Linked DNA regions of Cricetulus griseus. The protein of the gene in region 2 interacts with the protein of the main gene of each other region in a biochemical or structural test. Links are inferred from orthologs where the notes say so. Each region holds a gene or a part of one and is shown on either strand. Other genes may lie near its edges.

Region 1 (3,500 bases), about 75 Mb from region 2:
TTGGACTCAGGACCTCTGGAAGGACTACTAGTATTCTTAATCTCTGAGCCATCTCTCCAGCATCTCCCACCCCCACCCCTTTTGAGATAGGGTCTCACATAGCATAGGCTGACCCTCTGTAGCTAAGCCTAGCTTTGAACTGATCTTTTTGCTGTCACCTCCCAAGGCTTAGATTACAGGCATGCACCACCCTGCTTAGCCTCACAGTTCAGTTTTCATGATGGCTGTGATCTGTGCAGGCTTGATACCTCATTAGTTTATTCATTTTCCTAGTATACTGGCCAACAACAAGATGAATTGTGCGAAGATCAGTTGATGTAGGACTCCCCTCCCCCCACCCCAGACAGGGTTTCTCTGTGTAGCTTTGGAACCTATCCTGGCACTCGCTCTGGAGACCAGGCTGGCCTTGAACTCACAGAGCTCCATCTGCCTCTGCCTCCCGAGTGCTGGGATTAAAGGGTGCCACCAACGTCCGGCTTTTTCTTTTTTTATTCTTAAAAGAAGTATGACCTGAATTGATATTTTGTTTGTTTTCATTTTTATACTCCATTTCCAACAAGATAACTAAAAACAAAAAACAAAAAACAAAATGGTAGTCAACTTTTGCACCTAGGAATAGATTAATAGACTATTCACTTGTTATTTTTAACCTTTACAGTGTTGGAGGTTGAGCCTAGTTCATGCTAGGCAAGTACTGTATCACTGAGCAGCTGTATCTCTAGCTTTCATGGTGTTTCTGCTTTTTTTTTTTTTTTTGTATAGGGATCTTAAAGCCAGTGCCTGCCTTGTGCTATGCAAGTGCCTTGCTCCTGAGATACGCTTCACGTTTCACATTTTCAAAAAAAAAAAAAAAAATCTCTGTAGTGTGTGTGTGTGTATGTGTATGTGTGTGTAGGTTACAGGCAACTTGCAGAAGTTTGCTTTCATTTCATCATGTGGGTTCTGGGGATTGAGGTTGTCTGTAGCATGATAAATAAAAGACCCAGAGACTGATATTGGGGTTCAAGTGTCAGTCTGATGATCAGAGAAGCAAAGCAGCCAGACACTAGCTTTTTCCTCTACCTCAGACCAAAGGGGCGATCCTCAGACTGCTCCCAATTTAATTGCTCCTCAGATTCACTCAAACTGCTCTTCTCAGTTTGGCTAGAGACTAACTCTCAGACTGAATGCCTCTGCCTTTTATATCTCTCAAATACTGGGATTAAAGGTGTGAACCCTGATTCACTCTGGTAGCCCTGTATGGTCTTGGACTCAGATATCCATCTGTCTTTGTCTCCTAAGTCCTGGGATTAAAGGTGTGTATCACCACTGCCTGATCTCTATAGTTTGAGGTTGCTTTGCTTTCTGCTTTCGGGAAAGCTTTAGTAAATCATAAATATATAGTTGTCAGGCTTGGTGGCAAGTGCCTTTACCTGCTGAGCATAACAAAATATATTATTTTGATGGAATTCCTATGAAATGTTATCATTCATTTAAATTTTTATGGAAATAAACAACTTGCATGTCTCTTAGAGTGAGGGGATTTTTTGTTTTCTGGCATTGTGAAATGCAAGGTTATGCTTTTTTTTTTTTTTTTTTTTTTTTTTTTTTTTTTTTTTGAGACAGGATTTCTCTGTGGCTTTGGAGGCTATCCTGGAACTAGCTCTTGTAGACCAAGCTGGTCTTGAACTCACAGAGATCCGTCTGCCTTTGCCTCCCTCTGCTGGGATTAGAGGTTAAGGTTATCCTTTTTAACGATTTTCTGGTGCTGGGTCTAGTGGTGTATACCTTTAATCCCAGCACGCAGGAGGTGGACCTCTGAGTTCAAGGCCAGCCAGGGCTACACAGAGAAACCCTGTCTAAAGCCCTGGTCCAGTGCTGACTTTAAGGAGTGAGCTGACTTTTTTTTTTTTTTTTTTTTTTTTAATTTATTTATTTATACAGCGTTCTGTCTGCATGTATCACTGCAGGCCAGAAGAGGGCACCAGATCTCATTGTAGATTGTTGTGAGCCACCATGTGGTTTCTGGGAATTGAACTCAGGGCCTCTGGAAGAGCAGCTAGTGTTCTTAACCACTGAGTCCTATGAGTTGACACATAATACTTAACTCAGGCTAGGAGTTAGGTGTTGGTAACTGTCCTCATGTGTGTGTGGTATAAATCAATGGCCCTGCCTCTCTTTTTGTACAGTACCTTCATGAAAATGGGATTATACACCGGGACTTAAAGCCAGAAAATGTTCTCTTGTCATCTCAAGAAGAGGACTGCCTTATCAAGGTGAAAACTTTTCATCCTTTCTGTTGCTACTGCTGCATATTTCTGTTCAAAACTGTCTTTTAATCTCTTACATAAAAAAAAAATAGGACTATCAAAAGGTTGAGAATATGAACTATCCATACTTAACAGTTACTGCTGAGATCACAAAGTATTCCACCCATCTGTTGAGCACTTACTGAGTGCCAGTGTATGCAAGCTGCTTTTATGTGCCGAGGGAGGAAAGAGTCTCAATGGACCAGTGAGCCATAGATCCCACCTTTCCTTCTCAGCCTAGCCTCACTTTAGAATCTCCCGTTAAAATAACAATACAAAACCCAACAAGAAGACCCCAAGACATAAAACATGAGGGTGACAACAGGTGCCCCTGCCCCTTAAGCTTTTCTGATGTTCCATGGTGTAGTCAAATTTAAGAGTCTTGGGTTTAAGAAATATGTGTTAGTATTAGAGTCCTAATGTGTTTGTGTCAGGGGTTATGCAGTTTTTATAAGTTTATAATGATGATAGGTAAACCTGTCCCGGCTCGTGGGTCCGGTAATTTGTGTGTCTGAGGTGGACTAAGCATGAAAATAAATGGGCGAGAAAGAGAAGCCAGACCAAGCAGTGTCCTTGTCAAGGTCTAATTTTATTGATTATAAACAAGGAGTTTTTAAAGAGAAGGAAGTAAAGAAAGAGGAAGTGGAGGAGGAATGGATGTTAATTGCTCTCAGGCCAGGGCAGGTGTCCCGGAACCTAAGGGGTGGGGTGCTTGACTAATTGGCGGTTTAGCATGGAGGTCGCCAGGCTTCTTGTAAAGGAGGACTTTTTTATGTCTAACCAGGGCTGGCTCCTGACAGGTAAATTGGAAAAAACTTTGGTTCTCAGGTTCTTAGGCCCAGGGATTTTCTTTTAAGCAAAATTAAATGCTTTGCAAAGACATGAAATTATACACTTTGGGTTAATGGAGAGTGTCTGTATAATAGGTAATCCAGTTTCCATGGCTCTTGGGAATGATTGACTATGATTATGTTTGAATTTCATTTGTTCCATTTATAATTTTAGATCACTGATTTTGGACAGTCTAAGATTTTGGGGGAGACTTCCCTGATGAGAACTTTATGTGGTACGCCCACATACCTGGCACCTGAGGTCCTTGTCTCCAATGGGACTGCTGGGTACAGCCGTGCTGTGGACTGCTGGAGCTTAGGAGTTATTCTTTTCATCTGGTAGGAAACATTTTCTTTGCTTCACAATCTGGTTGGATGAGGT
Region 2 (3,458 bases):
CTTCTCCCAGGCACCCCTTACCTTCTCTCCCCCCCTCCCCTAGATCCACTCTCCCTTCAGAAAAGAGCAAACCTCCCAGGGATATCAGCCAAACATGGCATAACAAGATGCAGTAAGAATGGGTACAAACCCTCATATCAGGGCTGAACGAAGCAACCCAGTAGGAGGAAAAGGCTCCCAAGAGCAGACAAAAGAGAGACATCCCACAACCAATGTCAAGTGTCCCACAAAAACACCAAGCTAACATGTATGTAGAAGACCTGTCATGGACCCATGCAGGCTCCTTGATTGCCACTTCAATCTCTGTGAGCCCCTATGAAACCCATGTAGTTGATTCTGTGGTCCATGTTCTCCCGGTGTCCTCTATCGCTCTGGCTCCTACAATTATTCCTCTTGTTCTTCAATGAGGTTCCCTGAACTCCAAGGGTAGGGACCTGATAGGATCAAGAGATGATAATTCTATCAGAAAGAACCATGTTCCAGTATAACTCCAAGCCAAAGATTTTGCTGTTTCTTGTAGATTTCCCAATAAAGGTCCATAATCTCAGCTTATAAAAGTAAATTCATACTTTCCTCAGTAATCAATCAAGACAAAGTATTTCATAACAGTAGTGTCTTTTTTAGTAAGTGCTGGGCTTGTGAAATATATACACATATGTTTGTATACATTTATATTAATTTCTGGAACATCTCTTAAATGCTGTCTTTGCCAACTGGTCTGCTCTTTGCTATCAATTACCAAAATTTTATTTCAAGAATCATGTAAGTATGTATGCATGAGTGCATGTAGGCAAAGATGGATTGAAATATTGGTGTGCTACAAAATCCATGTTTGTAATGTATTTCACTTTGCAGATGCTGTGAGAAAACCATGGAAGTTATGCGCAGTTCTCAGGAAACTCTGCTAACCATTGTAGAGGTAAAGTATGCATAAGGACATCTGGATTCCTTTGCCAGTCAGCCTGCCTTGTTAGGAAGCACTCATTTGAGGAACATTGCTGCTTTTTATGTAGAGTGGTGCTGGGGCAACAGAAAGGGGCACAGTGGGCATTTTCTTACATCACAGAATTTGGGGTTAGAAATGGTTCTAGGCCCCTCATGTTTCTTGGAATATTATAGCATTGTTCAGTAATCTACAGTTTTTAATAAATAAATGAGCACTTTGACATCTTAGACATCCCTCTTCAGCCTGAGGAGATAACTCAGTTGGTAAAGTGCTTGCCACACAAGCATGAGGGTGTAGGGAAAAAGACTCTGAGGGTACAGGTATCCAGGGTCTCTCCCAACATGAGGGCCTGCGTTTGGAACCCCAGAACCCATGTAAATACATAGCATAGGAGCATGTATATTTTGTAAATCACTCCTCCTGTTCAGGTAGGGTTGAGAGTCATTTGTATTTCACTGGTACTCTTAAGACTGTGATAATAAGGGTAGAACTATGTCCTTTAGAAGATTCAGTTAACAGTTTGCCATCGTGGTCTAAGTGACAGTATTGCATCTGAGAAATGATTCTATCTTCACTTATAATACCTTATCATTTTGGAACATACCTATCCTGCAAAGACACATGAAGTTCTGTGTTGCCCCTGGTAAATCAGTCCAAATTTCTGAGAGTCATTTGCTGTAGTTTTCCTAATACTGAAGAATAGTTTCCCATTCTCCATTGCTATCTCCTGCTCTAGGGCAGTGCTTCCCAATAGTGTCTTTGGACTTCCCAATTCTGAGGTCACTCCTTTCAAAGTCAGTCCCTCAGTGGTTTATCAGTGGCCCTGGAGGACCTCAAAGCCACATTACAAAATGAAAAGCTTTTTATACTGCTGATCTAGTACATGTCCTACAGTTAAAATATGCTAAAGACATTTTACCGTCGCAGCATGTAGATGCTGCAGAAACCCAGTAAAGGTGACAATCAGAAAGGATTCTAGTCCTGTGATGCTGGCCGGGCGTTGCCTGGCCTGCTGAATCATTTGCCTCTATAACCAACTATTCCACTTACTACTAAGACTATCTAGGCCTAATTAAAAAACAAAAATAAAAACAAGAAATGCACGCAGGGAAGTTGACTGTTAAATAAATTACATCCTTTTGTTAAAGCCACCCAGCTTGGGAGCTAATTAATAGAAAAAGAGCCACTGTAGTGGGTAGTAGGTTGGTAGTCAAAATGTTAGTTTTGATGATGCTAAAACTCCATTACGGAACATGACTTAAGAGTCACGTGAAATAGACCTTGGGAGAGAAGGGAGTAAAAGCCACGGTGACAACCTCCTCCAACTAAGTCAGTGTCATCCAGCCTGACACCCAACCCTGGGGGAAGAGTGAACTTGGGGTGGGTTGAGAACCTTGGAGCTTATCCTTAAAATAGCTTTCCTCTGCACATGTATATAACTTGACTCCCTCCACCAGCTACTTGTGATTAGTATTATTTTATGATGTGGTGGCTATTGTTTTTAACTACATAATCAAAGAGCACATCGTTGTTTTTTTTTTTTCTTTCTAGGTCCTTTTGTATGATCCACTCTTTGACTGGACTATGAATCCTTTAAAAGCTTTGTATTTGCAGCAGAGGCCAGAAGATGAGACAGATCTCCATTCTACCCCCAATGCGGAAGATCAGGAATGCAAACGAAGTCTTAGGTGGGAGATTTTAGGAGGGACCTATTGTTAGTTACTTAGATTTTGTTATTCCCAAGCCCTTAGCTGTTGTACCTCATTGTAATCTTCATGTTTTTTGTCCTTAGTGATATTGATCAGAGTTTCAACAAAGTAGCTGAACGTGTCTTGATGCGGTTGCAAGAGAAATTGAAAGGCGTGGAAGAAGGCACTGTGCTCAGTGTGGGTGGACAGGTGAACTTGCTTATCCAGCAGGCCATGGATCCCAAAAATCTCAGCCGACTTTTCCCAGGATGGAAAGCTTGGGTGTGACCTTCAGCACAGGAATTACCCTTAAATTCAGACTTCAAAAATTACATCTCAGCCACCATATTTGGATAGGAATTATTTAAGTTAATGACTGCATTTGAACCAGTTTTCTACTTGATTCATCACCACCCAAAAATTGGCATTTCTGCTCTCATATGTTAGAAGTAATAGTTACTCAAGATCTTCTCCTAGGGTAAATGTTGACCCTTAAGGTCATGCTTGTACTGTTTTCAGTAGGATCACCAAGGTACACAATGAACTGTAAACAGCGGGAGCAGCAAAGTGAGCTTTACTTTTGGTGTGCATTAGGACAAGTTCATAACTTCTACTCTAAGAAGTTTTCAGTTAAAATATGTTCCCAAGAGCTGGGCACTGGTGGTGTACACCTTTAGCCCCAGCACTCGGGAGGCAGAGGCAGGAGGATCTCTGTGAGTTCAAGGCCAGCCTGGTCTACACAGTGCAAAGCAATACAGAGAAGACCTGACTCAGAAAAAAAAAAAAGAAAAAAGAGAGTTCCCAGACAGTCATTGTGTGTGCAT
Region 3 (3,500 bases), about 39 Mb from region 2:
CTATAAAATGAAATTAGGTTGGCTGGTTCCTTGTTTTTTGATCATTAGAATACAATATTCTATTTCTCAATTTGTAATATGCAAGTATGCACTAAGAAAGCCGTGTTTAAAAATCAAATGCATTTCTCTGTGAGTGCAAGCCCAGCCTGGTCTACAAATCAAGTTCCAGGACAACCAGGGCTACACAAAGAAACCCTGGCTTGAAAAAAAAAAAAAGCCAAAATAAAAAAAAATTGAATTCATTATTTTAAATGCAATCAAATACTAGTTTCTCTGAGAACATAAGTAAACGTATGTTGCACTTTAGATTTAAAGACATACCACTGATTAACACATGAATTTTAGATTATTAATATAGTCTTTGAAATAATTTTATTTTACATATATGGGGTCCAACCAAGGTACATCTGACATAGTAAGTTTTCATCAGTAGCTTCTTGTATGAGGTAATGCACATGTCCTTCAATAGATAATGGCAATCCTGTTACTCTATTTCGGGTCTTGATTACACCTTGCAGTCGTTGTTCAATGTCAAGAACATGGGTCTTGGCCTAAAAAGATATAGAAAATTGTTAAGGCTACAGACCCAATAACAGGTAATGTTGGTAATTTGGAGTGTCTACTTTTCTCACTACTTATTAATGTTAGTGCTGTTTTACTAAACAATATCCCATTTGTGGCAATAAAACAAATCCAGTTAACTTGAGATGCTGATTTTGATGTTTACAATGGCTAGCATCTACTAATGGGACATGTTTCTCTACAATAAAAATCACCAGGTAACTTTGTACATCCCAATTCCAGAAAGGTAATAATTTAAAATATATGTTTTGAGGGCTAGTGGGTAGCTCAGTGGTGGAATGTGTGTTTGTTTAGTAGACAAGAGACCAGGAGTTCTATTCCTTTCCATTATCAGAAACAAAATAAAGCAAACAAAAATCAAATGTTAGTTCTTAAGAAGATTCTAAAGATGGTGTCATGGGAGAGGTCCTTCTGTGTATATGTTTGTCTTATTGGTTGATAAATAAAGCACTGTTGGCCAATAGGTAAGCAAGTTAGGTGGGACTATGAGAGGAGGATTCTGGGAAATGGGAAAGGGAGAGAGTCACCATGTGATCCCAGGAAGAGAGGACGCATAAGGCCAGTGTCCTCGGTAAGGTAAGTCCTTATAAAAAAATACAGATTAGTATTTATGGATGATAATTAAGACTGAGCTAGCAAATAAGAGATCCTAGTCATTGGACAGCAACACTGTAACTAATATAAGACTCTTGTGTGTTATTTGGGGGCCCTAAGGCGGCGGCAGAACCCAGGCAGCTGTAGGAGTTATCCTTACAATGGTGGCAATGTTTTAATGGCTGATAAATTTACTTAAAATTCCATTTGCATGCACTAATGTAAATTTATTAAACTATTTAGAATTCTTTACAGCTTCTTAAGAAAAAGCACACCTGAAGCAAAATTGAGAATGATATTATTAGAAAAATAATTTTCAGAATGAGAATGAAGCCTGGTGGTGTTGAAATAATTAGTGCATGAACTTAGCATACACAAGGCCTTGGGTTGAACCCAGCATCAAAGTGGGGGTGGAGGAGAAAAGGATTCCTCAATGTATTTTTGTCAACTCTGAGGTTATAACTAATTTTAGATTTCAGAGTCATCAATTGTGAAAAATCCTTTTGTACACTGTAAAGATTTGTCACTGTAATTGGTTTAGTAAACAAGCTGATTAGCTACTAGCTAACAGGATAAAGTTAGGCAGGAAAGCCAAACTAAGAATGATGGAATAAAGAAGGGCAGAGTCAGAGGAGTTGCCAGGAAGATCAGAAGGAGCAGGAGATGAACGTGCCATGCTAATAAAGAAACCACCACGTGGCAGAGTGTAAATAAGGAATACGGGTTAATTTAAATGTAAGAGGTAGCTAGTAACAAGCCTAAGCTATTGTCTGAGCATTTATAATTCATATTCAGCCTCTGAGTTGGTTATTTGGGACCAGGCAGTCAGGACAGGAAATGCCCATTTACAATAAATATTTAACTTGCCAACAGTAATATTTGGAATCAGATCTCATTTAAAGAGAAAGAAATTTTAGCTTATGCCAAACTGTAGCTTTTACTAACCTTTTCATTGACAACTTCCCCAGTTTCATTCAGTGGTGCTTTGGAATGTCCTTTCACTGGTTTACTCCATTCCACAAGAGGATCATGCAGAAAAGTCTTTAAGACACTAAAATTGAAACAGATATAATAATGATAAATTCTTTACCTTTGCAAAAAGAAATCTTACTAAAATCAATATTTAAAAGTAGAATAAAGGAGGATTAGAAAGATAAAGTAATATCACAAGTTCTAGGACTATAGTACATTTTAAGATAGTTTATGTGAAATTATTTTGGGGGTGTTGAGGGAGCAGGGGTAAGGGGAAAATAAAGAGGTAGGGTAAGGGAGAGTCAGGTGTTTTGGGGGGAGTATGACGAATTCTGTGTGACATCTCAAGATCTATACTGTTACTTGATAAATGGGTGTTTATTTAAACTCATATTCTACCATGTTCAAGGAATATACAATACCTTCAGTTACCATACAGATGAAGCCACACCTTTCTTTTGAGCTCTAGACATCAACTCCAACTACCTGTAGGAAACCTGTTTAGATGTATTACAGATATCTTAAACTATCTTAAAAACAAAAGTCATTGTCTTTTCCTAATTCTTTCTGTATTCCTACAGCAGTAACAAACATCATTTGCAGTCTTTTCCTGAATGAAAAATAAGCTATCATCCTTACCTCTTGTTCATCTGTCATGCAGTTTACATCCTAAACCAGTACGGAATCTCCCTACTTACTCCATCTCTACTACTGCTACATCATTCAGTTAGAGTCTGGAACTCTGATTTTTCTACAATGCAGAATGGATGCTTTCATTTCCTCTTCCTCTACTTCTTTAAAAGAATTTTTTTCTTAAAATTCACTAACCTTTTACTTCTCAGAACACTTTTCTCCTGTGCTTGGTTAACTAAGATTTCAGCAACTTCAAAAGGTATTTCTTGGGGGCTGGAGAGATGGCTCAGAGGTTAAGAACACTAACTGCTCTTCCAAGGGTCCCGAGTTGAATTCCCAGCAACCACATAGTGGCTCACAACCATCCGTTATGAGATCTGGTGCCCTCTTCTGGTGTGCAGATATACATGGAAGTAGAATGATGTATACATAATAAATAAATAAAATCTTTTTTAAAAAAAGGTATTTCTTGACTTTACTAGAAAAAAGTGTGCTGTGTGTAGGCTCTCTTAATGACTCTACTATGATTTCCTCTGAGCAAAATATTCCTTTGCCCATGTTTAATAGTATTCTCCCATAATGTTTAAGTTCTTTAAAATTATGCTTTTCTGTGGTGGGAGTTGGGGGGAGAACTCAATCCATAAGATGCTTGCTGTACAAGTCTCAAGACCTGAATTCAGATCTCTAGCACCCATGTAAAAGGTTCGGAGCAGCAGTAC
Region 4 (3,500 bases), on a different chromosome or scaffold from region 2:
TTAGTGCACATGGAAAACAACTTTAACTATAAAACTTGGTTTCTTCATAGCTACATGTTATTTTAATAAACTACATCATTTCTTAATGTGCCACCAAGTAGGAGAATTTCACAAACTATATGGAATGTAAACATAAAGCAAAATCATATTTCCAGTACAAATTAAACAAAACAAAACATCAAAACTGGGTGTAGTGGCACACGCCTTTAATCCCAGCACTCGGGAGACAGAGGCAGGTGGGTCTCTGTGAGTTGGAGGCCAGCCTGGTCTACAGAGTGAGTGCCAGGACAGCCAAGGCTACACAGAGAAACTCTGTCTTGAATGAATGAATGAATGAATGAATGAATGAATGAATAATGAACGAACGAACACACACACACACACACACACCACAAAAATGTTACTTCTTAAAATAGAAAACTGGAAAAAAAATTCCTTGACAGCATATCTTTCCCTCTCCTCCTTCTCTCCTCCCCTCTCCCTCCCTTCCTCTCTCTCTATGCTAATTAAGGTGGCTAGAGAGATGACCTGGTAGTTAAAATTAAAAGTACTTGCTGCTTTTGCAGAGGTACCAGGTTCAATTCCCAGCACTCATATGGTGACTCACACCATTTGTAACTCCAATTACAGGGGATCTGACACCATCTTCTGACTTCTGCAGGCAATTTCAGACAGACATAGTGCACAAACATACATGTAGGCAAAACTCATATACATAATATAAAAATTTAAAAATTAAGGCTAAACACATAAAGGAATTACAGGCATGGTGATACACACCTACACTCCCAGCACCCATGAGGTGAAAGCATGAGCACAGTTAAGTCTGAGACCAGTCTGGTTTGTATAATGAGATCCTATCTAAAAAATTTAGAACATGTGATTGGTGATTTTTGATAAAAGTAAAGTCACATGGAATATGTACCTATAGTTCTTTGTTATTTAAAAACCAACATTAATGCCTTATATCAAAGGTCTTTAAAAACCAGAAAATATTAACCTTTCAATATTATCATTGTGTTAGAAGGACAGGTATTATTTCTGTTTCCTGAGAGAACATATGCGAGTGTTAAGAAGTTGCTGTCTTGGGCTAACAAGATGACTCAGTACAAGCCTGACAACCTGGGTTTGATCTGCAGGACGTACATGGTAAACGGAGAAGACCAAATCCTGAGGGTTGTGCTTGGCCTCTGCATGTATAATGTAACGTGCATATGGTGTGCACTGATGCAGACATGCACACATACACAATAAATGAAATGTGTAAAGAAGTATTTCAAGGAGAGGAGACTGATAACTCACTAGAGTAACAAACAAGTGGGCTTTAGTCCAATTTTGTAACTTACCTTTGTATCTATTACAGTAACATCCATTTTATACTGAGAAAGATCGGCTCCCGGGTCTACACTCCACTGGATATTGTCAAAGGGCACATCTTGGGAAAAAAGGAGAACCACAAATTAAAATGCCAATTTGAAAATTTGTTTCACTTTAAAATGAAAGGGACCCACAGAACATGAATATAAAAAATTTCTATAGCACATATTCAAATACATATATCTCAGGAAGCTGAAGAAATAAGTATCTCAGCAGTTGAACACACTAACTACTCTAGCAGATGACTTGGGTTTGGTTCTTGGCATCCACATGATGGCTCTTAACTGTTTATAACCCAGCCAGGGGATCTGATACTCCCTTCTGACCTCTGTAGGCACGAGGCACATGGTGCAAATTTACATACAGGCAAAACTTACATATACATAAAAATTTAAAAATCTTAAAAAACAAAAACAAAACCCAATTCAAAGTGGGCAAAGAATCTCACCAGCAGTTCAACTTGCCACTAACATTATGAGAAAGTGACCAATATAACCAGCAATCAGAAAAATGAAAGACAACAATGAGATCATTCACACAGACTAGGATGACTAGGCTAAAGTGTGTATACAGATATTGACTTGGAAAGGATGAACGCTTCACACAGTCATGCTAATGTGAAATAGCATAGCTGCTCTGGGAAATAAGAAGTCCCTTAAATGGTCAAAGTAAGAGCTGATATGAGGGCCAACAATTTCAGTACCAGAACACTGGGAACTGGGAAAAAAGAAAAAGTAAACATCCATTTTCAGAAAAATCTGTACACAAATGTTCATTGTATTATTCATAAAGGTAACAATGACAGTAAATTTGTATTAACTGATCAAAACATGACTGTATATAATGAAATTTTATTTAGCAATACATAGGGATGGAATACTGATACATAATATAATATGGCTAGGAACTGAAAACACCACCAGTGCTAGGGAGATGGCTCAGCAGGTAAAGGTGCTTGCCTGTGCAAGCATGATTACCTGAGTTTGACCCTTGGAACCAGTGTAAAAGTTCAAAGAGAGAATACTGCACAAGCTGTCCTCTAACTACATATGCTGTGGCATGTACACATCCACACTCACAGAAACACACCACATATACAATAATGGTAAAATAACGTTAAAAGAAAACATTGTGCCAAAGAAAAGAAGTTACAAGATTTCACACTGAGTAGGTCTCTATTCACCTAAAATATCTACAGTATTCAATCTGAGAGATAAAAATTAGGCTATTGATAACTAGAATTGGGAAGGATGAAAAGGCATGGAAGTATCATGGAAGTTTATCATAACTTAGACTGTACAACTCTTTAAGTATGGACATTTTCATAACAAGTGATTTGTATTTCACTGAAGTAATTCTTTAAAAGCTAAAATTCTAAAATTTGGATTTTCAATGTATTATATGTAGGTATAACACATGACAACTGCAAACTGTAGTTTAAGAACATGAAGCAACAGGTAGGTGGTGCATGTCTTTATTCCCAAACAAACAAACAAACAAACAGACAAACAGACAAACAAACAAACAAACCCCAATGGAATAGTTAAAATACTTTTAAAGCTTTTGCAAAGGAAGCAAGAAATAACTAAGTAACTAAATCCACAACATCATCTAAAGTATTTAAAATAAATTTTTAAAAAGCTTAGGAACAAATCCCAGCACTCGGGAGGCAGAGGCAGGTGGATCTCTGTGAGTTCGAGACCAGCCTGGTCTACAGAGCTAGTTCCAGGACAGCCTCCAAAGCCACAGAGAAACCCTGTCTCGAAAAACTAAAAAAAAAAAAAAAAAAAAAAAAGCTTAGGAACAGAAAAATCCAAGGTAAAATGAAAGTGGTAAGAATAATGCTATAAAACACAGATATATGCAGGAAAAAAAAAGATCCCCCCCCAATTTTTGTGTAAGGAATGTAAATGCCACCCAATTAAAAAGAGAGAGCCTGTTAATAATGCACACACCTTGGTTGTTTGGCAGGGACTTTGTTTTAGCAACTCTACAGGGATTTAACTGAAGAACTGATGCAAGCTCACATCCTCCATGGACTGGTCTGCTTTTTCCTTTTGTTGGCACAAGAGAACCAGTATCCTAAACGGAAACAATTATTAGCACTTAAATGAAATCACAAA
Region 5 (4,072 bases), on a different chromosome or scaffold from region 2:
TTCACCCATTTCCGTGTTGCTGTCCTTACCCACAGTGGAGCCCCTCCCAACCACAGCCGCTCCATTGCCAGCCTCACTCTTGACTTTTGCATCTCTGAGCTTTTGCTCAGCAGGCTGAGCCAGTACCAGCTGGATACCAGATGTCACTCCATTAGCTTCCAGCTGCTTGGCCTCTGCAGCAGCACCATCCCTGGCAACTGAAGAGGACTCCCCAACTGCTGGCTGTGGACATAGCTCTTCATCTGTGTCACTGCCCAAGTCAAAGGGCAAAGACGGCCCACGGACACTTTGGGCTGGAGAAGACCCCTCTTCATCACTGCAAAGACAGAGAGCCCACAGAATGTACTCCCTGGATAGGCCACCCCACTCCGCTGTGAGGGCCCTGAGAGTGAGCAGGCACTGCTGCCAGGTGTCTTCCCATCCCCACTGAGCACACCACAAGTACTCTTCATAATTTAATTCAGCTGAGGAAGTAATTATGCCTAGGCTCTCGGCTCCACCTGTCAAGATAATCACCTCATTTATTCAAGACCGACTCTTTATTCAAAGGCCGAGGTGTCTAAAACCAGTTAAGGAAGCTCAACCCTATCGTCCCAATCCTGATACTGAACCCAGAGGTCTGCCAGGAGTCTAAGACCAGCTTGGGCTACAGAGACTGTTTAAAAACAAAACAAAACAAAAGATCCAGGCATCTGGTACTTTGCTACTCACCTTTCTGGTACTACTGTTGCTGATGGAGACGTTGGATTCCTTGATCCATTTGCCACATACCTTCCAGAAGGAAAATCTGGCAAGAACAGGAAGAAATAAATTGACAGTTTACACCCTCATTCCTGTCTCTTCACACACATACACCCAAGGCACAAACTTACCTACTTCCTCCTCCGAATCCTCAGCCAACAAAACTCTGGAGGTTTGGGACCCTCCCTGTATTCTGGGGGTCTTCTCTATAGTTAGAAGTCCCCGAGAGACCAAAGGTGGAGGGACATCCAAGCGACGGTACTGGCAGGGAAAGTCTGCAAACAGAATTAATTCCTGGTCCTTCAGACGATGGCTCACTCCAGGGGTTAGGACCTTTGGGGGCTTTACCAGTTGAGTGCCATTGAGGCTCCCACAATCCTGGAGGATAGGGGCTTTGTTGCAAGCTGAGATTTCAATTACTGCATGCTGTTTAGAGATGGATGGAAAAGGCAGGGCCACAGAGCAGTCGGGGCTTCGGCCAATTACATTCTTGCCAAGGTAGAGTGGGAAATCTAAGGATCAAGAAGAAACATTAAGTTGGGCGTTGGTGGCACACACCTTTAATCCCAGCCCTCGGGAGGCAGAGGCAGGTGGATCTATGTGAGTTCGAGACCAGCCTGGTCTACAAGAGCTAATTCCAGGACAGCCTCCAAAGCCACAGAGAAATCCTGTCTTAAAAAAAAAAAAAAAAAAAAAAAAAAAAAAAGAAGAAGAAACATTAAAGAGTAAGGGCAGAGTCCTGGCCTGAATGAAGATGGTACCTACTGCTCACTCAAAGCTCTCACAGGGTTAAGAACAATGGGCACACCAGCGTAGAAGAGCATTCACAATACATCACTTTGCTGTAATATTCTATCTACTCACCTCATCGGTATTGTTCCAACAGATCCGAAAACAGTTTCATGCATGCTAGCTAAGCACTCTTTCCCTGAGCTACTGCCCTTGCTTTGTTTTTGATCCAGGGTCTCACTATGTAACCCAGATTGTTTTCGGACTTGCTATGTGGCCTAGGTTATCCTCAACCTCACCTCCTGAGTACAGGGATCACAGACATGCACCACCATGCCCAAAGGGAGTTTCTTATTGTAATAAAATACACAATATAGGCTGGGCATATTAGCACATGACTTTAGTTCTAGCATTTGAAAGGCAGAGGCAGGTAGGTTTCTGTGAGTTTGAGGCCAGTCTGCATAGTGAGTTCCAGGACAGCAAGGGCTACATATATACTCTGTCTCGAAGAAAAACAATACACACAATATAAATCTAACCATCGCAATCATTGTAAGTATACTGCTCAGTTGTGTTACATATCCATTTCTAGGCCACAATGTATTTTACCTTTTAAAAATTTTATGCCCTTTAGTGATGGCACACACCTTTAATCCCAGCACTCAGGAGGAGGCAGTGGCAGGCAGATCGCTCTGAGTTCTAGGACAGTCTGAGCTAGACAGAGAAACCCTGTCTCAAAATAAATAAATTTTTTATTTACTCATTATTTATGTATATGTGTGCACCTGCATGAGTTTATGTCCACCATATATGTTCAGGTACCCAAGGTCAGAAGAGAGCATCAGATCCCCTGGAACCAGAGCTACAGGTGGTTTTGACCACCATGTGGGTGCTGCAAACCTAAACCAGGTCCTCTTCAAGAGCAGTAAGCACTCTTAGTCCCTGAACCATCTCTTCAGCTCCCACATTCTATTTTTATTCGGAGCTCTTCATTTTCTCCTAACAAAAGAAAAACACTCCCAGAAAGTACAGGGTACCCGCCTGGAACAGTCAACTCAGGTGGCCTCTTTGTCATCCCTAGTACAACAATTATTATCCTCTTAGAAACATACATAAGGTTTACCAATGATCCAACTGCCTCTAAGGAGAAGACAAGACCCAATACTCATTCAGCTCCCAATATCTCCTGACCTCTTTCTGGTCCATGAGTACTACTGAAGAGACGCAGCTGCCCTATAGGCTCCAAGCTATACCCCAAGGACCCACTGGGTATTTCTGTCTCCTCCTCCTCTTCAGCATCCCAGTCAATAACCTGGGTGTTTTCCATGACCTGTGAGGGAAACACATTATCATTGTTCTGGTCATTGGTTTACACACACTTGTAGAGAAAAAATAACGAGATAACCCTGGAGGAACGTGGAGTGACGTGGGGGTGATTCCTGCCTGCCTTTCCTTCCTTCCTTCCTTCTTTCTTCCCAGACAGGGTTTCTCTGCTGTCCTGGAACTCACTCTGTAGACAAGGCTGGCCTCAAATTGACAGAGATCCACCTGTGTCTGCCTCTTGAGTGCTGGGATTAAAGGTGTGCGCCACCATGAGGTGATGCTTTTCTGTCATTCTGAAGCATGTAAAAATATTGGGGTGGGGCATGGATAGTAAGAATGTCAGTGACAGAATGTTTGGCTAGCCTATGTGAGGCCATATGTTCAACACTTAGTACTATCAATGGGAAAAAAACAACTTTTTTGGGGGCCAGCCAGTGGTGACACACACCTTTAACCCCAGCATTTGGGAGGCAGAGAGAGGCAGATCTCTGAGTTCAAGGCCAGCCTGTTCTACATAGTGAGTTCCAGGGCAGCCAGGGCTACACAGAGAAACCCTGTCTAAAAACAACACACACACACACACACACACACAAAACTTTTGATTAAAAGATGTTGGCATATATCTGTAACTCCAGCACCTGAAATCCCAAGGCAGGAATATTAAGAGTTGGAGACCTGGCCAGGCATGGTGGGTGACACACGCCTTTGATTATAGCACTTGGGAGGCAGGAGTCAGTTCAAGGCCAGCCTGGTGTATGTAGTCTGTTCCAAGCCAGCCAGAGCTACTAGTTAGACCCTGTCTCAAAAGAGTGGGGTATAGAAACCACCCTTGGTTACAGTAAGACCTTGCTCCCCAAAACAAAACAAAAATATTATGTATGTGTATATTTATACTTTTGGTCATGACAAAGAATTAAGGTCCAAGTATACCATTATATATACATTATATACAAAGGAATGTTACATGGGATTTTAGGTACTGGAAACTAAACCTAGGGCTCACACATGGCAAATGCTCTACCACTGAGCTATATCTCCAGCCCCAAAATGGGTACTTTTATTTAAAGTATATAAAAGCATGATAAACTGGATCGAGGTAGTGTATGTCCACAGTTCCAGCTGCTGAAGGAAGCTGAAGCAGTGCAATTGCTTGAGTCCAGGAGTTCCAGGTAAGCTGGGACAACATATTAGGACCTCTTTATAAAAAATAATAATAAAATTGCCTGGCCTTGGTGGTGCATGCCTTTAATCCCAGCACTCAGGAGGCAGAGGCAGGCGG
Region 6 (4,154 bases), on a different chromosome or scaffold from region 2:
TTGTCTACCAACTAGGCTGCATTCCAAGTCCCCCCTTTCTTTCTCTCACTTTTTGAGATAAGGTCTCACATTGTCTGGCCCAGGCTGTACCTCAAACTCACTGTAACCATGCCTGGCCTCAACTTTGTGGTATTTATCTTGTCTCAGATTCTTCAGTATTAGAACTATGTGAGCTACAGCCCAGTTCTAGCTTTCTTGTTTTCTTTGAAACAGGGTCTTGTTGTGTATCATAGGCTAGAAGCCTTGATCCTCTTGCCTCAGCCTCCCAAGTGCTGGGACAAGTGTGTGGCACCATACCTAGCTTGAGTGTTGAGCTTTGTAAGCAGGCCCTCCCTGGAATCTTAGTTCTGGGAAATCTAGGGCCTCCATTGCAACCAAACAAGTCAAAAGCAAAACTCCTTTCAAAATGCTTCTCCCAAAGGGAGGAAGGTGACCCGGTATGTTCTCAAGTGTGGAGAGAGACAGGCTAGCCTGGACTCCAGCGAAGGTTGGCATACATTCAACAGTATGACCTCAGGCATTTATTCGTCAGCTGTGTGATCTTGTGCAAAACCCTGTCCTTTTCTGAACTTCAGTTTTCTGCTGTTTGTGGTTGTTATTGATTGCTTGCTTTGCTTTGTGGAGATGTAGTCCCACTAAGAAGCCTGGGCTATCCTGTAACTCATGATCCTTCTAGGGCTTCAGCCTCCCCAGTTCTGAAATTACAGGCATTCCCTACCACATGGAGATTGATAGATTCTCTATCCTATTAGACATGACGGTCCTCCTTGCCACTCCCCTCCCCTCCCTACCAAAGTGTTGGAATAGACTACAATTTGAGGACTGTTGGGGAAACGTCTTTGACCAGCCCATCCTCTACAGAGGTCCGATCTTGCCACATCAGATTTACAGTCAGTTTCCAGCTGGCTGGCTAGTTCCCTCTTAGTCCACCACTCCTTTCAAGGCCAGGGATGCGCATTGTTCAGCCACTGCTCTGACTCCTACAGCACAGTGGAAACGAAAGAAGCGTTAAGATGGGCGAAGGATCAGCCCACCCTTACTTTCTTCTAGTAGGAACAGCTGGGGATCGAGAGATCACATCCTAATATAGAAAGCAGGCCGTCTAGTGCGCCGAAAACGCGGTCACCAAATCGGAGAGCTTTTCCAACGTCACCCCTATATAGCTCTTCTCAGTGCGTCGGGGAGGGACCCCGGAACCTAAGGGGCCAACACTGGGGTTCCCGCACTGGAGAGGGCAGAAGCCGCTAGGTCAGCAGCTGGGAACAACTTGCATGCAGCGGGCTGGAGCTGGGTGGGGCCGGGCGGACCTCAAGTCTCAGGGGGCGTGGAGCCCAGGCGGAAGGGGCGGGCCGGGCTGGAGAAGGGCTGGGCCGAGGTGCCGCGGGGCTGCTGGAGGGTCGTGGGCGGCACGTAGGAGACATGTCTGGGGGTAGCAGCTGCAGCCAGACTCCCAGCCGGGCCATCCCCACTCGCCGGGTAGCCCTCGGCGACGGCGTGCAGCTCCCGCCCGGGGACTATAGCACCACCCCGGGCGGCACACTCTTCAGCACCACCCCAGGAGGTAGGCGCGGGCCGGGGTTGGGGCGACCTCCAGGGCAGGAGGGCACCCCGGGATCCGGAGTCGCACGTGCGACGGGGGTGGCGGCGCTCAAGGGTTCCATAGCTGGACAGAACGGATAGGGGCGTCAGGAAGGCTGGAGGGTAACCGTCTCGGTTGCCCGCCTGCTGGGTGTGGTGGAGCGTGGTCTGGGGGCCCGTCTGCAAACTGCGCGCTTTTTCCTGGGAGAGACCGCGGAGTGCCCCAAGCACACAGATAGGCACTCTGCCATGATTACCATGTGCTCAAGTGAGGCCTCTCTGGGTGTCACGACAGTTCTAGGGTGGGTCAGGATGGGGGTCTGGGTGGAGCAGGGGAAGGGCCAGGCCTGGAGATTAAGTTTAGTTGATCTCTCTTGGAATAAAGGACGCCTGCACACTTTTTAACCTTCCCCGGGCAACCCTCGTTTTGCGTTGGGACACTCGCTTATTGATGAAGGCTGGGCGTTGAGGGTGCTCTCTGCCCCAGGAGCACGTCTCGGCCACCTGTGGCATGAAGCCGATTTAGAGAGTGAGATCTCCAGACAGGGGCCTGGCGCTGCGTCCATGGCTGTGCAGAACAACACGTTCCTCGGGTCTGGGGGGAGGGCACAACGCTGAATTCGCCCAAGTGGCGGAGGATGAGGAAGAGGAAGCTGAGTTGGCGCGGGACGGGGCCGGGCTCCAGGAACTAGGCATTCCCAGCTTGCCCCGAGCCCCAGTATAGGCGCTGATGAAACCTACACGCCCGTTTGCATGATGAAATGCTCGTGGCTCACTACTTCCCTCCCATTCTCGAGCTGCTCCCACCCATTTTGCGCTTCTCCCTTCCCTGATCTCCTCCCCCAAGCTTCTCCTCTTACAACTCAAAAAAACAGGAGAGTTCCTGGCGCTGCGCTGAACCTTGGGCTACTGCAGGCGCGTCCAGGCCACATGCCTTTTTTCTCAAGCAGCTGTTCCTATACCAGGGAACACAGCCAGACCCCAGAACCAAGGCGCCGTTGAAGGGATCTTGTAGATGAGTGTCCAGTTTGTGCCTCTTGGTCTTCAGAACAACCCCCCCCCCTTTTTGAGCGCGTGTCTGTTATGCATTGTCACGATGTGTTCCTAGCAAACAGGTAGAGCGGGGAAGGCATTCTCCCTTTCATTAGAAATGGCCCAGGGAAAACTCTGCAGGCTTCTGGTCTCCCTTTCCTGGAGTTCTCAGAACTTTCCTGGCCTCTTCTAGTTCACACTCTTGCACCCTTTCTTTGTCTTGTTACAGAACTTTGTGTTTAAGCACAAACTTGGCAGACAGTTGAGTCCTTACAGGTGAGGCGTGAATCTTTTTTTTTTTTTTTTTTTTTTTATGTACAGGCACTGAGGCAGGCTTAAAGGCTCAGGGAAACCCTTTTTGCCCCCCCCCCCTTTTTTTTTTTTTTTTTTCGGATGGACAGTACTGTTTGTATGAAGATCCACTTCACACTATGGACTGGGAAGTGTCAAAGTTGGCAAATCATGATGTCCCAAAGCCACTGGCCCTTTGTCAGGGTGTTTTTTTTTTTTTTTTTTTTTTTTTTGTGGGGTACACAGCCCATAGCTTGAGGAGAGTCTATCTCATTTCTGCCAAAGCCAACAAGCCTGTTCTTTAGCTAAACAGTTGGATCTTCTTCAAGGGCTATTCCTTCCAGGGCTTCTCTGCCAAAGTGGAGAAGCTTGACCCATTTGCTTCAGAGTTTCTCATTACTTAGACCCCCAATTAAATACGGAGTTGGAGTACAAAGGTCTACAGAGTGAGTTCCAGGACAGCCAGGGTTGCATGAAGATCCACTTGCCTCTGCCTTCCTAGTTCTGGGACTAAAGGTGTGCACCACCACATCTGGCCATCCAGGCTTTCCTTACTGTTACATACCTTTTGGGCTGTTTCTAATGGCTCTGACCTGTACTTCCTTGGAAATCCATCTAACTTTTGAATTTTTCTACATATATCAAGGGCTGGCTGGGAGACAAAGGCCATGTTAATATCCTTGAGATTTGCTATGTCCTCAGGATCTATAGGAGTATATAGCCAATAAGCTTGAAGCAGGACTGAGATATTGCCTAACCATTTTACAGGATTTCCAGGTGAAAGGGACAAGCGACATCCATACATGTGTTATTTGCCTTTTCAGGTCTTTGGGAGTCTGGCAAAGTAGATTCCATCCAGGCATGAAGTCAGGCTGGCATTTCCTGAACTTAGGCTTTTCTGTACATCTTGGCTTGTGATTGACCCTTAGGGGCTGTGAGCTTTTCATGAAGGAATATTGCCTTAAGTCCCTTCAGCTGAGATGGCTTTGAAGCAGTTGTCTTGGGGAGGCCATGAGGGAGGCCAGAATGCCAGGACACAGCAGGTGGCCTGAGCCTCCTCCATTCCTGTGGTCATTATCCCTTTGCTGGCCCACCCAGTTAGGTATTCTGAGAACCTAAGACGTTTCTGAGGGGAGTGTCCTATGTGGGTCTTTAAGATGGTCAGCAGTCCCATAAACAGAATCTTCTAGTAAAGGCCCAGGATGGATGTTTGACCTCTGACGAAGTTGTTGGGGTGCCCGTACCTATTAGTG
Region 7 (3,500 bases), on a different chromosome or scaffold from region 2:
AGAAAAGTTAACTATTGTATCATTCAAAAATGTCTTCTAGGTGAGGCTGTTAAGGCTTGTGGCCTTTCAGTTAATCTTGTCTGAATCCAAAAGCAGTCTTAGGAAACCTGTAGCTTCACCTTTTAAACCTCCAGTATAATTGATTCTAGAGACAATGTGATTTCTTTCTCTGAGCTGCTTCTGAGGTGTTAATTGGGTCTTCCATCATGTAACATGTTTATTCAGTCCTTAATCCTCCTTTAATCAAACTTCTGTTTTTGGAAGGAACATTAGAATTGATCACTGTACTGGTCTAAATTGCTTCTAGCCATACAAGTTTAACAAGGGCCTCCCCTAATTCATTCCCATTTTAGTGGTATTATACAGGTGCAAAAATAGAGGACTGACTTCACAAATAAGCAACATAGATGCATTCATTGTTCCTTACACCGATTTTTATCTTGCCCTTCTTTGTGAACTAGTAATTGGGATTCCTAAGCCTTATGTTTTCCCTTCTTTACTCAGTATGGCCGCCTGATTGACCTCTGCCAGCCTACACAAAAGAAGTATCAGATTGCTGTGACTAAGGTTTTAGGAAAGAACATGGATGCTATTATTGTAGACTCAGAGAAGACAGGTCGGGATTGTATTCAGTATATTAAGGAGCAACGTGGAGAGCCTGAGACCTTCCTGCCACTTGACTACCTGGAGGTAAGGCTTATGGGGGGCAGTTAAGTTAAGGCAGTGCTGAGGGACCCCTCACCTTGGCTTTATATTAATAAGATTCTTCACATAGGTAAAACCTACAGATGAGAAGCTCCGGGAGCTGAAGGGGGCCAAGCTGGTAATTGATGTGATTCGATATGAACCACCTCACATCAAAAAAGCTCTGCAATATGCTTGTGGCAATGCCCTTGTTTGTGACAATGTGGAGGATGCCCGACGCATTGCCTTTGGAGGTCACCAACGCCACAAGGTATGGCCCTCTTTTCCCAGGTTGGAGCTGGACAGGTATAGTACTGGAGATTTCTATTTTCACCATCTCCCCCGCCTCCTCTCTCTGGTGTGTATAGACAGTGGCACTGGATGGAACCCTTTTCCAGAAGTCAGGAGTTATCTCTGGTGGAGCCAGTGATCTCAAGGCAAAGGCACGGCGCTGGGATGAGAAAGCAGTAGACAAACTGAAAGAAAAGAAAGAACGCTTGACAGAGGAGCTGAAAGTAAGTGACAAGTAACAGTGATCCTTCGGAGTAGGTTCCTAAGCTCAGGTTGGCCACTTACCACATGGCCCTTTTTTCTTGTCCTCTTTAGGAGCAGATGAAGGCGAAACGGAAAGAGGCCGAACTACGTCAGGTGCAGTCTCAGGCCCATGGGCTACAAATGAGGCTGAAGTACTCACAGAGTGACTTAGAACAGACCAAGACAAGGCATCTTGCCCTGAACCTCCAGGTAGGGCTTGGTCTTCATCCCTGTTCTCCAAGGCCATCCTAGGTTGCACTGAGGATGGGGAATTATCCACTTTCCTTCCGTTCTGTTCAAGATAGAAGAGCAGAGAGTCAGACACTGGGATGGGGTGGGGGCATCCAGATCTTCTGTCATCTCTATTTATTCCATTAAGCAACTTATTTAAGTTCTTTGTCAATTTTCTCATCTTCATCTACCAAATGGAAATTATTGTCTGTTTTGTATGATTAGTGCAAAGATGGAATTCGTTAATATCTATAATGTTCTTAGAACGGTAGGCACTCAGTAAATGTTAGGTGCTATTATTAATGCAGTTCATTCAATAAATATTGGAACTTCTGAAAGTCAATTGAGCTGGGCGGTGGTGGCACATGCTTTTAATCCCAGCACTCAGGAGGCAGAGGGAGGCAAACCTCTGTGAGTCCAAGGCCAGCCAGGTCTACAGAGTCAGTTCCAGGACAGGCTCTGAAGCTACAGAGAAACCTTATCTAGAAAAACAAACAAACAAAAAAAGTTAATTGAGAGTGAGCAACAGGGCCAGTGTAGTGGCATATGCCTATGGTCCCAGTACACTGGAGGCTGATGTGGAAGATTAGAGAATTCAGGGCCACTCTGAGCTATGTAGTGGGATCACATCTCAAGGGAAACAAACAAAAACAGTGAATTAGAAGAATTTCAGTGTCTATGGGTTGGGGTATATTAGTATGTTCTTTGGTAATTCTACATTTTCCCAGTTTACCCAAGCTAGAGGTATTACGTAATACCTAGAGTCACCTTCTTCTGAAAAAAACAGTCCAACTTGTAAACTATATTTGACCTAGGGGTTATCAATACAGGATTGTGGACCTACAACTAATGATGTTTACTGTGTGCCCAGCCTTAAGGATTAAAGGTTTTAGAACTTGACTGGGGTATTGATGCTAAGTCAGGCTTTCTCAGTGGTTGCTGACCATGGGGCTGGTACTGGCAAGGAAGTTCTTTTCCTCCACAGATTCTAATCTCTTGTCTTTCAACCTGTTGTCTGTAGGAGAAGTCTAAGCTGGAGAGTGAGCTAGCCAACTTCGGGCCTCGCATTAATGATATCAAGAGAATCATCCAGAGCCGAGAAAGGGAAATGAAAGACTTGAAGGAGAAGATGAACCAGGTTGGTAGAGGGTGGACCATGCCAGCATGTTTATTAGGACAAGACTAGGTTTAGAAGTAGGACTTCAATTAATAATGCCTCTGCCCTTCCTGACTTTTCCCTCAGGTGGAAGATGAGGTGTTTGAGGAGTTTTGTCGGGAGATTGGTGTGCGCAACATCCGAGAATTTGAGGAAGAAAAGGTGAAGCGGCAGAATGAAATTGCCAAGAAGCGGTAAGTGAAAGATTGTTATAAGATACCGGGATGCATGCCTACAGCCTGACATCCTCGAGAGTCATGTGTGTCCTAGGGCAGTGACCAATTCTTAGAAGCATACAAACTTATTGTAGGGAGGCCAGAAAGAACAGTGAAATCAGGTAGATAATATGTCAGGATAGTGGGTAAAAGTGCTAGCTTTAAATCTGGTTTACCCAGATTAAAATCATTACCTTGAGACAGTGGTGCCTATCTTGTGGCATTGGGGGGAGGATTAGATGAAATAATCTTTTTTTTAGATTTATTTTATATATTTTATTACATACACAGTGTTCTGTCTGCATGTATGCCTGCAGGCCAGAAGAGGGCACCAGATCTCAGTACAGATGGTTGTGAGCCACCATGCGGTTGTTGGGAATTGAACTCAGGACTTTTGGAAGAGCAGCCAGTGCTCTTAACCTCTGAGCCATCTCTCCAGCCCCTAGATGAAATAATCTTTGTGAATTATTCAGCATAATAAATAGCATCTACAAAGAACAATAAACATTATCTTTTGTTTTGCTATTATCCTTGTGTATTGGAGGTTAGGAATGAAAAGAAGTTCCAGGCTGGAGAAGTAACCAGAAAAGAAGCAAGCCCCTCTCCCTCATTTTTTGTATATTCTATTCTATATTATGTTATTATATTATACTGTATTTACCTTTGTTTTTTTTTAAGGT

The links.
Region 1: of the proteins of serine-protein kinase ATM (region 2) and Chek2, one has a biochemical effect on the other in vitro, tested with the Homo sapiens proteins (6 studies listed by BioGRID, with this or other methods). The link is inferred for Cricetulus griseus from reciprocal best matches to the Homo sapiens genes ATM and CHEK2.
Region 3: of the proteins of serine-protein kinase ATM (region 2) and Atr, one has a biochemical effect on the other in vitro, tested with the Homo sapiens proteins (2 studies listed by BioGRID, with this or other methods). The link is inferred for Cricetulus griseus from reciprocal best matches to the Homo sapiens genes ATM and ATR.
Region 4: of the proteins of serine-protein kinase ATM (region 2) and Rbbp8, one has a biochemical effect on the other in vitro, tested with the Homo sapiens proteins (4 studies listed by BioGRID, with this or other methods). The link is inferred for Cricetulus griseus from reciprocal best matches to the Homo sapiens genes ATM and RBBP8.
Region 5: the proteins of serine-protein kinase ATM (region 2) and Mdc1 form a complex in vitro, tested with the Homo sapiens proteins (2 studies listed by BioGRID, with this or other methods). The link is inferred for Cricetulus griseus from reciprocal best matches to the Homo sapiens genes ATM and MDC1.
Region 6: of the proteins of serine-protein kinase ATM (region 2) and Eif4ebp1, one has a biochemical effect on the other in vitro, tested with the Homo sapiens proteins (2 studies listed by BioGRID, with this or other methods). The link is inferred for Cricetulus griseus from reciprocal best matches to the Homo sapiens genes ATM and EIF4EBP1.
Region 7: the proteins of serine-protein kinase ATM (region 2) and Smc1a form a complex in vitro, tested with the Homo sapiens proteins (2 studies listed by BioGRID and IntAct, with this or other methods). The link is inferred for Cricetulus griseus from reciprocal best matches to the Homo sapiens genes ATM and SMC1A.

Annotation. Positions count from the first base shown.
Region 1 is NC_048597.1:90,646,719-90,650,218, forward strand, and holds part of Chek2 (serine/threonine-protein kinase Chk2), read left to right. Parts: intron 1-2,168; coding exon 2,169-2,255; intron 2,256-3,293; coding exon 3,294-3,457; intron 3,458-3,500. UniProt on the Homo sapiens protein: Serine/threonine-protein kinase which is required for checkpoint-mediated cell cycle arrest, activation of DNA repair and apoptosis in response to the presence of DNA double-strand breaks.
Region 2 is NC_048597.1:165,151,163-165,154,620, reverse strand, and holds part of serine-protein kinase ATM, read left to right. Parts: intron 1-855; coding exon 856-919; intron 920-2,497; coding exon 2,498-2,634; intron 2,635-2,738; coding exon 2,739-2,922; 3' UTR 2,923-3,458.
Region 3 is NC_048597.1:204,588,643-204,592,142, reverse strand, and holds the end of Atr (serine/threonine-protein kinase ATR), read right to left. Parts: intron 2,228-3,500; coding exon 2,122-2,227; intron 552-2,121; coding exon 378-551; downstream 1-377. UniProt on the Homo sapiens protein: Serine/threonine protein kinase which activates checkpoint signaling upon genotoxic stresses such as ionizing radiation (IR), ultraviolet light (UV), or DNA replication stalling, thereby acting as a DNA damage sensor.
Region 4 is NC_048595.1:224,645,685-224,649,184, forward strand, and holds part of Rbbp8 (DNA endonuclease RBBP8), read right to left. Parts: intron 3,460-3,500; coding exon 3,333-3,459; intron 1,436-3,332; coding exon 1,347-1,435; intron 1-1,346. UniProt on the Homo sapiens protein: Endonuclease that cooperates with the MRE11-RAD50-NBN (MRN) complex in DNA-end resection, the first step of double-strand break (DSB) repair through the homologous recombination (HR) pathway.
Region 5 is NW_023276806.1:229,747,714-229,751,785, reverse strand, and holds the start of Mdc1 (mediator of DNA damage checkpoint protein 1), read right to left. Parts: upstream 2,801-4,072; 5' UTR 2,798-2,800; coding exon 2,662-2,797; intron 1,254-2,661; coding exon 873-1,253; intron 788-872; coding exon 712-787; intron 317-711; coding exon 1-316. UniProt on the Homo sapiens protein: Histone reader protein required for checkpoint-mediated cell cycle arrest in response to DNA damage within both the S phase and G2/M phases of the cell cycle.
Region 6 is NW_023276807.1:56,590,486-56,594,639, reverse strand, and holds the start of Eif4ebp1 (eukaryotic translation initiation factor 4E-binding protein 1), read left to right. Parts: upstream 1-1,354; 5' UTR 1,355-1,419; coding exon 1,420-1,561; intron 1,562-4,154. UniProt on the Homo sapiens protein: Repressor of translation initiation that regulates EIF4E activity by preventing its assembly into the eIF4F complex: hypophosphorylated form competes with EIF4G1/EIF4G3 and strongly binds to EIF4E, leading to repress translation.
Region 7 is NC_048604.1:107,465,894-107,469,393, reverse strand, and holds part of Smc1a (structural maintenance of chromosomes protein 1A), read left to right. Parts: intron 1-504; coding exon 505-690; intron 691-775; coding exon 776-955; intron 956-1,052; coding exon 1,053-1,199; intron 1,200-1,290; coding exon 1,291-1,428; intron 1,429-2,470; coding exon 2,471-2,587; intron 2,588-2,692; coding exon 2,693-2,799; intron 2,800-3,500. UniProt on the Homo sapiens protein: Involved in chromosome cohesion during cell cycle and in DNA repair. Central component of cohesin complex. The cohesin complex is required for the cohesion of sister chromatids after DNA replication.